Linked DNA regions of Canis lupus familiaris. Each later gene encodes a partner of the first gene's protein in a complex. Links are inferred from orthologs where the notes say so. Each region holds a gene or a part of one and is shown in the gene's direction. Other genes may lie near its edges. The genes, in order: CMKLR1 and RARRES2.

Evidence for each region.
Region 2: the proteins of CMKLR1 (region 1) and RARRES2 are in contact, whole or in part, in a cryo-EM structure (PDB 8ZJG), measured with the Homo sapiens proteins. The link is inferred for Canis lupus familiaris from reciprocal best matches to the Homo sapiens genes CMKLR1 and RARRES2. Residues at the interface, in NP_001135815.1 of Homo sapiens: Asp20, Tyr21, Leu22, Asp23, Ser24, Ile25, Val26, Val27, Leu28, Phe88, Leu92, His95, Tyr103, His104, Asn116, Leu119, Ile120, Met123, Arg178, Leu183, His184, Gly185, Lys186, Ser188, Cys189, Phe190, Asn191, Trp203, Thr205, His217; in NP_002880.1 of Homo sapiens: Leu34, Phe37, His38, Phe60, Thr75, Ser76, Cys77, Arg96, Leu111, Gly112, Arg113, Leu114, Val115, His116, Cys117, Pro118, Ile119, Thr133, Leu136, Arg137, Gln139, Arg140, His146, Ser147, Phe148, Tyr149, Phe150, Pro151, Gly152, Gln153.

Annotation. Positions count from the first base shown.
Region 1 is NC_049247.1:18,843,938-18,848,416, forward strand, and holds the start of CMKLR1 (chemokine-like receptor 1), read left to right. Parts: upstream 1-1,597; 5' UTR 1,598-1,789; exon of another isoform or gene 1,790-1,909; 5' UTR 1,910-2,044; intron 2,045-2,052; exon of another isoform or gene 2,053-2,284; intron 2,285-4,479. UniProt on the Homo sapiens protein: Receptor for the chemoattractant adipokine chemerin/RARRES2 and for the omega-3 fatty acid derived molecule resolvin E1.
Region 2 is NC_049237.1:15,398,605-15,402,947, reverse strand, and holds the start of RARRES2 (retinoic acid receptor responder protein 2), read left to right. Parts: upstream 1-1,342; 5' UTR 1,343-1,396; intron 1,397-1,623; exon of another isoform or gene 1,624-1,763; intron 1,764-1,878; 5' UTR 1,879-1,949; intron 1,950-2,790; 5' UTR 2,791-2,813; coding exon 2,814-2,987; intron 2,988-3,222; coding exon 3,223-3,327; intron 3,328-4,261; coding exon 4,262-4,343. UniProt on the Homo sapiens protein: Adipocyte-secreted protein (adipokine) that regulates adipogenesis, metabolism and inflammation through activation of the chemokine-like receptor 1 (CMKLR1). Also acts as a ligand for CMKLR2.

The DNA of each region.
Region 1 (4,479 bases):
GGTGCCCTTGGCAAAACAGCTTCTCCCCCACGGCCCCAGCATTCTCATCAGTAAAACAGGTGAACCACATCTCCTTAGTGTCGTTGGGGGCTCACGTGACTTATTCCGTGGAAAGCCCCTGGCACAGGGCCATGCACACAGTGGGTACTTGCTGTTACTTCTTTCGTCTGGAGGCCGAGGGCTGGGCCCTGGAGCAAGACAGTCTGGGTGGAATCACAGCTCTCCCACCTAACGGCTGTGTGGCTTAGGGCAACTGACTTAACCTTTTTGTGTCCCAACTTCGTCATTGGTAAAATGAGGGCAGAAATGGTACCAACTTCGCAGGGTCACCCTGAGAATTAAGGAGCAAGGAGCCAGCACACTGTCTGGGTGTCAGCTCTTGTGTTTATTCTGCTGCTGATGCAATCATGCGGACAGCGAGCCAGGCACCAGGCTTCGTGCTGGGGCCAGAGCGGGGGACAGTTCCCTTCCCAACAGAGTTTCCAGTGCAAGGGAGAGAGATGCTCTAACAGGAGGGGACACTCCTGTGGCTGTGATAGAGCCCCAGGGGCCGAGAGCAGAACCCCCAGCGGTGGGGAAGGCTTCTGGGGAGGTGGTCCCCAAACTGAGATTTGAAAAGGTAGCAGGAGACCCTCTGAATAATAAATATATATTCATAGGAATTTTGCATAAGAAAATAATTGGACAAGTGTGCTATGGGGTGTATCTTACAGTTAAAAAGATGAAGTGAAACTAACCAATCACCAGGAAAGTGCGGATTCAATAATCCAGAGCTTGCTGTCTATGTAAGTGATAAATTGTCTGTATCCATTTGGGAAACAAAAATTAAATAAACAAACAAACCAGTGCATCGATTCATTGAAATCATGAGCAGCTGTTAAAACAGGGTAAGGTGTGTCCGCGTGCGCGCACACACACACACACACACACCTATCACTGAATGAAAAAGCAGGTTACACTATGGTACACGAAGTATGACTGTGCTATTTTCCATTTATATATAGAATGTGTGTGTGTGTTCATACCAAAGTGTTAATGATATTTCCCTCCGGGGAGCAGAGTTTGGGAAGAAAGCAGGATTTATATTTAAACAACACAGGGTCTGAATGTAGTTAAAGGTTTTGATGTATGTTGTCAGACAGCTCTCCAGAAACGGTCTATCAATGTATATTCCAATTATGCATAAGATTTTTGCTTCCCGGTGACATTTACTAAAACCAAACGTTATGAGACGTTTTAATCTTTGTTCATTTGATACTTCAAGAAAAATAAATCTCATTGCTGTTTTAATTTGCAAAGAAAGGAAGAAGGGAGCAGGAGGTCACGGAGCCGCACCTAGGCGGCCAGGAAGGGCATCCCAGCGGGCGGCGGAGAGAGAGGTGGTGGCCCAGGGTGCTGGGACATCCGGCTGCTCCGGAGGCCCTGGCAGGGAGCGGCCACTTCCCACAGCTGCCTGGGGCTCGCATGTGCTCCTGGTTTGCGCCCGGATGGTGGGCAAGGCTCCCAGCTGGGCTCTGCCGCCAGAGGGGCGGGTCGTCCTCAGCAGGCCCTGCCACCAGGCACCAGCCACCAGCCACCAGCCACCACCCACACGCCCGGCCCGGCTGGCAGGCAGGGGCAGCCTCCCCCGCGGCCCCCACTCCACGCAGCTGGCCGCCCCCAGCCTCGGCCAACCCAGTTTCCTGCCCCGCCCTCCCTCTCTCTCCTCCCTCCAGCTGTTTCTCTGGCAGAGTCCTGTCCCATTCAGGACAGCGGCTGCGCTCGCTGGAGGAGCTCAGGACAGCACGAGGTCTCCCGCAGAGCCCCCGCTGAGTGAGGGTTGAGGGGGTTCTAGGGGAGGCTGCAATCTGGTGGGGAGAGGGGGGTTCCAGGGCATCTTGAATGAATGGACACATTGCCTTCTGGACAGACAGCCGCAGCCAAAGAACGGTGTGACCGTGACCTCGAGAAAGAAGTCGGGCAACGGGGGGCCCCCTGCACAGCCTCCAGTGGCCTGAAGTCCAGGGGAACCCCTGGGAAGACCTAGGCGGAGACCAGCCACAAGGTATCACGCTCGGCTTTGACATCGCCCGGAGGGGCCAGGAACGGGGGATACCAGTAGGGAGAGGAGGCCCGGAGTTCTGCTTCACAGTTAATGTTTGTCAAGATGAAAACATCATTTGCAGGTTTCCGAAGTCGTGCATGCTAATTGTAAGAAACAGCAGGGCCGCCCTACTGTTAAAAGCTCGGTGTTTTCCTTCTCCGAGGCAGGTGCTTCCATCTTACAGGTGTCCTCATTTTACAGGTGAGCGAAGCGGGCTCAGAGAGGGGGAGGCACTGGCCCAGAGCTGCAGAGACCACAAACTGGGTCGGCGGGGGAGGTGGCAAGACTGGCATGAAGCCAGCGGCAGCGCAGCCCGCCGCCCTTGCCCTTGGGCTGCAGCTCAGTACAGAGAGGTCCCCTCCCCGAGGTGGCCTTTCGGGCGGCCCTCTCCAGCGCTCACACGCTCGCTCGCTCACTGATTTTCTCTGATGTTTGTTGAGTGCCTACTAGATGTGGCAGGCGTGTAGAAGTATGTAGGTGTGGACTCACGCACAGGTTGCTAACGTCTTGTTGGCACCCTCACCTCGTCCTTCCCCGCAGACTGGGAACTTCTATCTATATTCCTCCAGGACACATTTTAACGGCTGCACAGAAAGGCTCTCCTGGGGTTTATTTAACCCTTCCTCACTGTGGTGGTTTCCTTCTTACTTTTTTCCTTTTTTCCCCATGACTACAAACAGTGCTATGATGACCGCTCTTGTACCTCATCTTTGCACGTCTGGCCTATGGATACCTTACCAAAGGCTAAATCACTGAGTCGGAACACTGAGTGCTGTTCTTAAGGTTTGTGAGGCTTCTGGCTGTTTCTCTCGACATTTCTTTATTACTGCTGATTATCCCTTGTAATCTTACTGTTCATTTTGCTTTTATGATTATGCCGGTCAAGTCGGCTCCCACTTTTTTCTGTCAGCATGTTTATCTTTTGTTGATTTTTAAGAGTTCTTTGTATATGAAGGATTTGGCAGTGCTGGCTGCCAAATCATCATAATCATAACTGCTGCTCCATATAAGTCTGATCACTCCGACCATCTTGTGGTTCAGATAGGCCAGTGAGGAAGTGGCCAGGTTTGGGGGTCTGTCTTATTTTTTTCCATTAAGAGGCCTGATCCCCAGCTTCCCTTTTGGCAGCCCTTACTTCCTTTTGAAGACTGATCATACCTGCGGTTCTTGCTATCTTTTCTCCTTCCTCCGAACTCGCTCAGAGGAGAGACACTTTCATATGCCTGGGTTGCCGAGATGAATGTGATTGGCCTCCGGTGGTGGGAGGAGGGCAGCTTGGCATTTCCTCAAGAAAGAAGGCTTAACTTAAACCAGGGATGCTCAGGTGGTGGGGTGTCAGGCCCTGGGAAGCCCAAGGAGGAGTTCTCTCTGGTATCCAGGGACCTTCTCTGGACTCTACCAAAACTTCAGGGAATAGGTAAACCTTATCTTGGGTGAGGCACTCCCTTCTCTGGTTTGAGCCCTTTGGAGAGGTCTTTCTCTTGACTGTCTCTTCTGCTAGGCTGGGGGCTCCTTGAGGCCAGATTTGGGGGATTTACTATTCTCTCTGTATCCTCAGTAGGTAGGTGCTTGGTAAATATTTAATGAATAAATAAATGAACCAGGCCTTGGTTCTACTATCTGTAAGATGGGATGGGAGAGTCGAACAAAATCTCACCCCTTAGGTGTTTCTTTAATTAACTCCTCTCAGTTTGCAGACCACTTTACTGCCATGATTTTCTTGAATCTTCGCTATGGTTGTGTGATAAAGGTATTCTTAATATGCCCATTTTACAGATTTGGAAACTGAGCCCCAGGGAGGGGTTCCAACATTAGACCTCCACAAGAGGCACTGGTACATCATGGCCAGAGTTAGTTTGTTTGGGTAGATTTGAACCCAGTCTGCTCCCTGCCACCGAATGACATAAAATAAGTTATCTGTATGTTCCAATATCCTCATCTGTAAAATGGGAATGTCATAAAGATTAAATGAGATCACACACGTGGAGCACTTAGCAGAGGGCTTGTCACGTCATAAGGAGCTCTATAAACACGAGCTGTGATTCTATTATCATTTCTATACCACCTGCTGTCTGTACCTTCGACACCCATCTGAGCCAAATAGAGAGTATTATTAATTTCTTTAACAGTGTGTTATTAGTGCTCGGGTTCCCATCAGAGTCCAGAAAAACCTAAAAGCCTATTTCACTTGCTTTGAGCTACACTGCATGAATGTGGTTATTACTGCCAGTAATTACTGCCAGCTTCAAGGCTACAAGGTAGACCTGGGGCTTCTCAAAGTGCAGTCATGGGATTGCTGACATCAGAATAAGCATGAATAATATTATTCGTGCCGAATAATCATGAGTATTTCCTAAAGCTTCAGTTTTTTGAATCAGAATCTCCGAGATGAGGTG
Region 2 (4,343 bases), on another chromosome or scaffold:
GTGTGTGTGTGTGTGTGTGTGCTAGGACTGTCCATACACTGGGTTGTTTAAACAATAGAAACTTATTCTCCCAATTCTTGAGGCCAAAAGTCCAAGATCAAGGTGCTGGCAGGGTTTGTTCTTCTGAAGCTCCTCTCCTTGGCTTGTAGGTGGGTGTCTTTTCCCTGTGTCTTCACATGGTCCTCCTTCTAAGTCCTAATCTCTTCTCATAAGGACACTAGTCATATTGGATTGGTCCTCTCCCCTACCTTCTGACCTCATTTTATCTTAATTACCTCTTTAAAGTCCAAATCTCCAAATACAGTCACATTCTGGAGGTACTTGGGGTTATGACTTCAACATATGAATTTTAGGGGAACACAATTATATATTTATAGTAGTGATATATATATGTGTGTGTGTGTATGTATTTATATATGTAGTGATTTTCTTCTTTAATAACTCACAGACTCTGATTTAAACATGGTGGATCACACATGTTTATCCCTACTCCCTCCCAAAACTCCATCAAAACAATGGTAAATGAGTAAAAAGGTATAAATTCACAAGGAGAAAGAAGATGGAAGAGGAGATAGCCGTGGACAAGACACATGACGCGTTCTACATGACGGCAGGGAAGGAACCATGGTAACCGCCTGAGGTAACTCAAGTCAAGGGTCTTGCTGGTGCCCCCAGAGCACATTGAAGAGGAAGCTGTCAGCTCCCTGTGCAGATCCATGGCAGAGGTGAATAGGGAAGAGGAGGAAATCTGCCCCAAATCCTGTGCCAACAGTCACTTTCCACGAAGGTCCTCATTTAAACCTCACAACAAGCCCTTAGCATGGAGATTCTGATCCCCACCTTGCAGAGAAGGAAGCAGAAGTTCTAGGGATTTGGGAAGGTAAACAAGACCCTGTTTTGGGCAATTAGCATAGGTTGAGCCAGAGAAATGGCAGGACTGGTTCCTGACCCACCGAGTCGCGGAGCTTGTTCCTATTTGCTTAGGATGCATGAGAGTTGAGCAATGTTTGGACAATTTTCCTCCCAGTCCACACTAGCCTTATGAATTCCATCGTACCATTCTGCTGCGCCTGCAGGCTCCCCAAGCCCCACACGAGACCCCTGAATCTATCACCACTAAGGATGGGATGTGCAGGATCAAGACTGAACATGTTTGCTGCCTATAGAAGTTGCTGAACACGAGACTCATCTCTAACAGAGATGCCTTCCTTCTCCGTGTGGTTCTAGGGCTTGGGAGGCAGGAGGAGGGGTCAAATGACTCCTCAAGGTCTCATTGGGTTTGAAGATGGCTGTATTTCTGGGAAGAATTTCCTGAAATGTGTGTCTGAGGATGCTGGGAACTGGTCACCCAGTTGGGGCCAAAGAAGAGGGCAGCCCTACAGAGGCAGGACAGTGGGTAGGGAGTGGGGAGGGTAGCCCCATATCCTATGGAGGAGAGGCTGGGGCAAGACCACCAAATGCTTGGGCTCCTGGGCCAGGGGGAGGGGAGGGTGGTTTGGCCAGAGTTGGGGTCAAGGTCTGGTGGCAAGATCTCAGCAGAGAGGCCTGCCGGTAGATGGGAGGAAGGTCTCGGAAGGCTGCCAGGAGGCCGGTCCTAACGGGGTGGGGAGGAGCCTTGGGCGGGCTGGAAGCTGGAGGGGCCTAGGGGGTGGGAGTGGGAGGAGATGGGGGCCGACCAGAGGAAGGGGGGGCAGGAAGAGGCTAACAGCCTGATGTCGAGTCATCCAGGAGAAGGGCAGCAGAGACCCTGAGGCATAGAAGAGGTGAGGGGGGAGAGTGGGCCAGGGGGACAGCTGGATGGAAGGAGACGGGCCAAAGGAGCAGCTCCAGGGGTGAGATCTGTCAACCGGTTGTAAGGCAACACCTGGTATCTTTCAGCGAGAGGACCTCCGTCTCCACATCTGTAGCTTTCTTGTTCTCAGGCCACCGGAACACACAGAGTTCGAGCGGTAAGTCCATGCCTCAGGCAACCCTAGTCATGCATTAGGGGGCAGATCAGAAGGGCTGGGAGAGGAGTGGCAGGGAAGACCCAGAAAAGAAGTTAAGGAGGAGGGGGTCTCCCTGAAGAAAGCCCTGGTGGGGCTGAGGTGAGACCCCAGGGTGTGGGGCCAGGGGTAGGGCCGGAGGCTGGTGGTCCTGGGCAGCCCCAGCACAGGGAGGGTTAAGCACCCTCCCGATTCCCACCCTACTCTGGGCCCCTCCCCTGTGTTTACGTCCTCCCAGAAATATTTGGCCTCCAGCTGGCCTCCATTCTATATCCTGCCCCTCCCCCTTGAATTAGCCTTGGGGGACTGAGGGAGTGCGGGGGCCAGGGTTCCAGGGGACTGGGAGCGAGCCAGCAGACCCCAGAGGCTGAGATGGGGGAGCCGAGAGGAGCTCTGAGGGCAGCGGGCAGACAGGGGACCAGAGACCCCGCAGCGGGGGAGAAGGAATGGGCCAGGAAAGTGGGAAGGGGAAAGGGGGAGGGTGGGAGTAGACGGGGGGGGGGGGGGGGGCGGGGGCGGGGGGGCTTCCCACGCTGCTGGCCTGAGGACAAAAACCAGCTCAGCACCTTCCCAGGACTAGGCCCAACCAGGGCTGGGCTGGCCCCAGACTGGTGGGGGGCAGGGTGGAGGAGCAGGGGACCAGGGGAATACCAGGGCTCTCTCGACAAAAGGGCCACTTCCCGCCCCTCCAACCTGGGCCCAGAGTGGGTCAGGCAGCCCCCCCTGCGCTAGCCCCGCGGCAGGGCCAGGGAGCGGGCAGCTCGGCGGCTGGCATGAAGGGCTGAGGACTAAGCACTCTCTGCAGGGCCACGACGACCAAGTGAGGCCATGTGGCAGCTGCTGATCCCTCTGGCCCTGTGGCTGGGCGCGGTGGGTCTGGGCAGGGCTGAGCTCACCGCAGCACAGCAGCGGGGCCTGCAGGTGGCCCTGGAAGAATTTCATAAGCACCCGCCCGTTCAGTGGGCCTTCAAGGAGACCAGTGTGGACAAAGCCGAGGACACGGTTAGTGGCGTGGCCTGGGGAGGGGAGGGGTTGAGGCCACAGGTGCGCTCCCAGGAAGCAGGTGGAAACGTGCTTGGGCTCGACAAGCACCCAGTTCTCCAGGGAGAGGCCGACACCCCAGCCACCCTCTCAGATGTGCTGTTTGGGGAGGAGCGGGGGATGGGGGAGGAGGGACCCGGCCCATCCAGGAATTGATCTGCATGCTCAGCCAGCTGCTGGCTTTCTCTGTGGGCAGCCCTTCCCTGCAGGGACCTTCGTGAGGCTGGAATTTAAACTCCAGCAGACGAGCTGCCGGAAGAAGGACTGGAAAAAAGCCAACTGCAAAATCAAACCCAATGGGGTGAGTGAAGACCGAGGGTGTGTGTGTGTGTGTGTGTGTGTGTGAGAGAGAGAGAGAGAGAGAGAGAAAGAGAAAGAGAGAGAGATGGGGCATTTGCTCAGTATGAGGGTTGGTAATTTTGGTTTAGGTGGAGAGATCCAGCAAGAAGCCCTGAGGGTGGAGCAGTGGTCCCACTTCTAGAGGCTCAGTCTGAGACTGGGGATCTGATGTTGTCCTCCTGTCCTCCTCCCCCCGGGGCTCCTCTCTCAGGCGTCAGGCCACTGGTGAAAGAAGCCCCGGGCATGGGGTTCAGCTGGCCCCCAGCCCAGGCCGCGTGAATTCTCCACTTTCTGAGTCTCCAAATAGAGACAGCCCAGCCTGGGCTGATTCATGCAGCGCTTGACTGCATTCAGCCCCCCTGGGGGCATAACCACTGCTACAGGGGAGTCCCCATGTCCCAGCTGTTCCGAGCCCCAGCCTGTGACTCAGTAGGTTCTTTGAAGGCCTGTTCCCTCCATCCGTTAAGGGAGGGACTGGATTGTATCAGTGATTTTCCACACTTTTATGTCAGGACCCCTGTGTTCACGTCAAACCTTTTGAGAACAGTTCATCAGAATGGCCCCAGTGAAAGTCAGGTGGGGAGAACCCATCTGGGGAAGGAGATCTGCGCGCGCGCGTACACACACACACACACACACACACACACACACACACACACACACGGTCCATAGTTTGAAAACCATAGGGTGCTCTGACGTCTGAAATCTCCCAGGCCCCAGGTGGGCTGCACCAGAAGCCAGCTGGCCCCAGGACCCCTGCCCCTCTGCTCTAGGGCCTGCCAGGGGGGCTGCTCCCCACTGCAGGCAGCACCCCCAGCTTCTACCCTGATTGGAGGGGGGGCTGCATGCCTGCCCTGACCTCTTTCCTGTCCCGGCCCCACGTTCCCCTCCCTCAGAGGAAGCGGAAATGCCTGGCCTGCATCAAGCTGAACTCTGCAGATAAAGTTCTAGGCCGGATGGTCCACTGCCCCATCCACA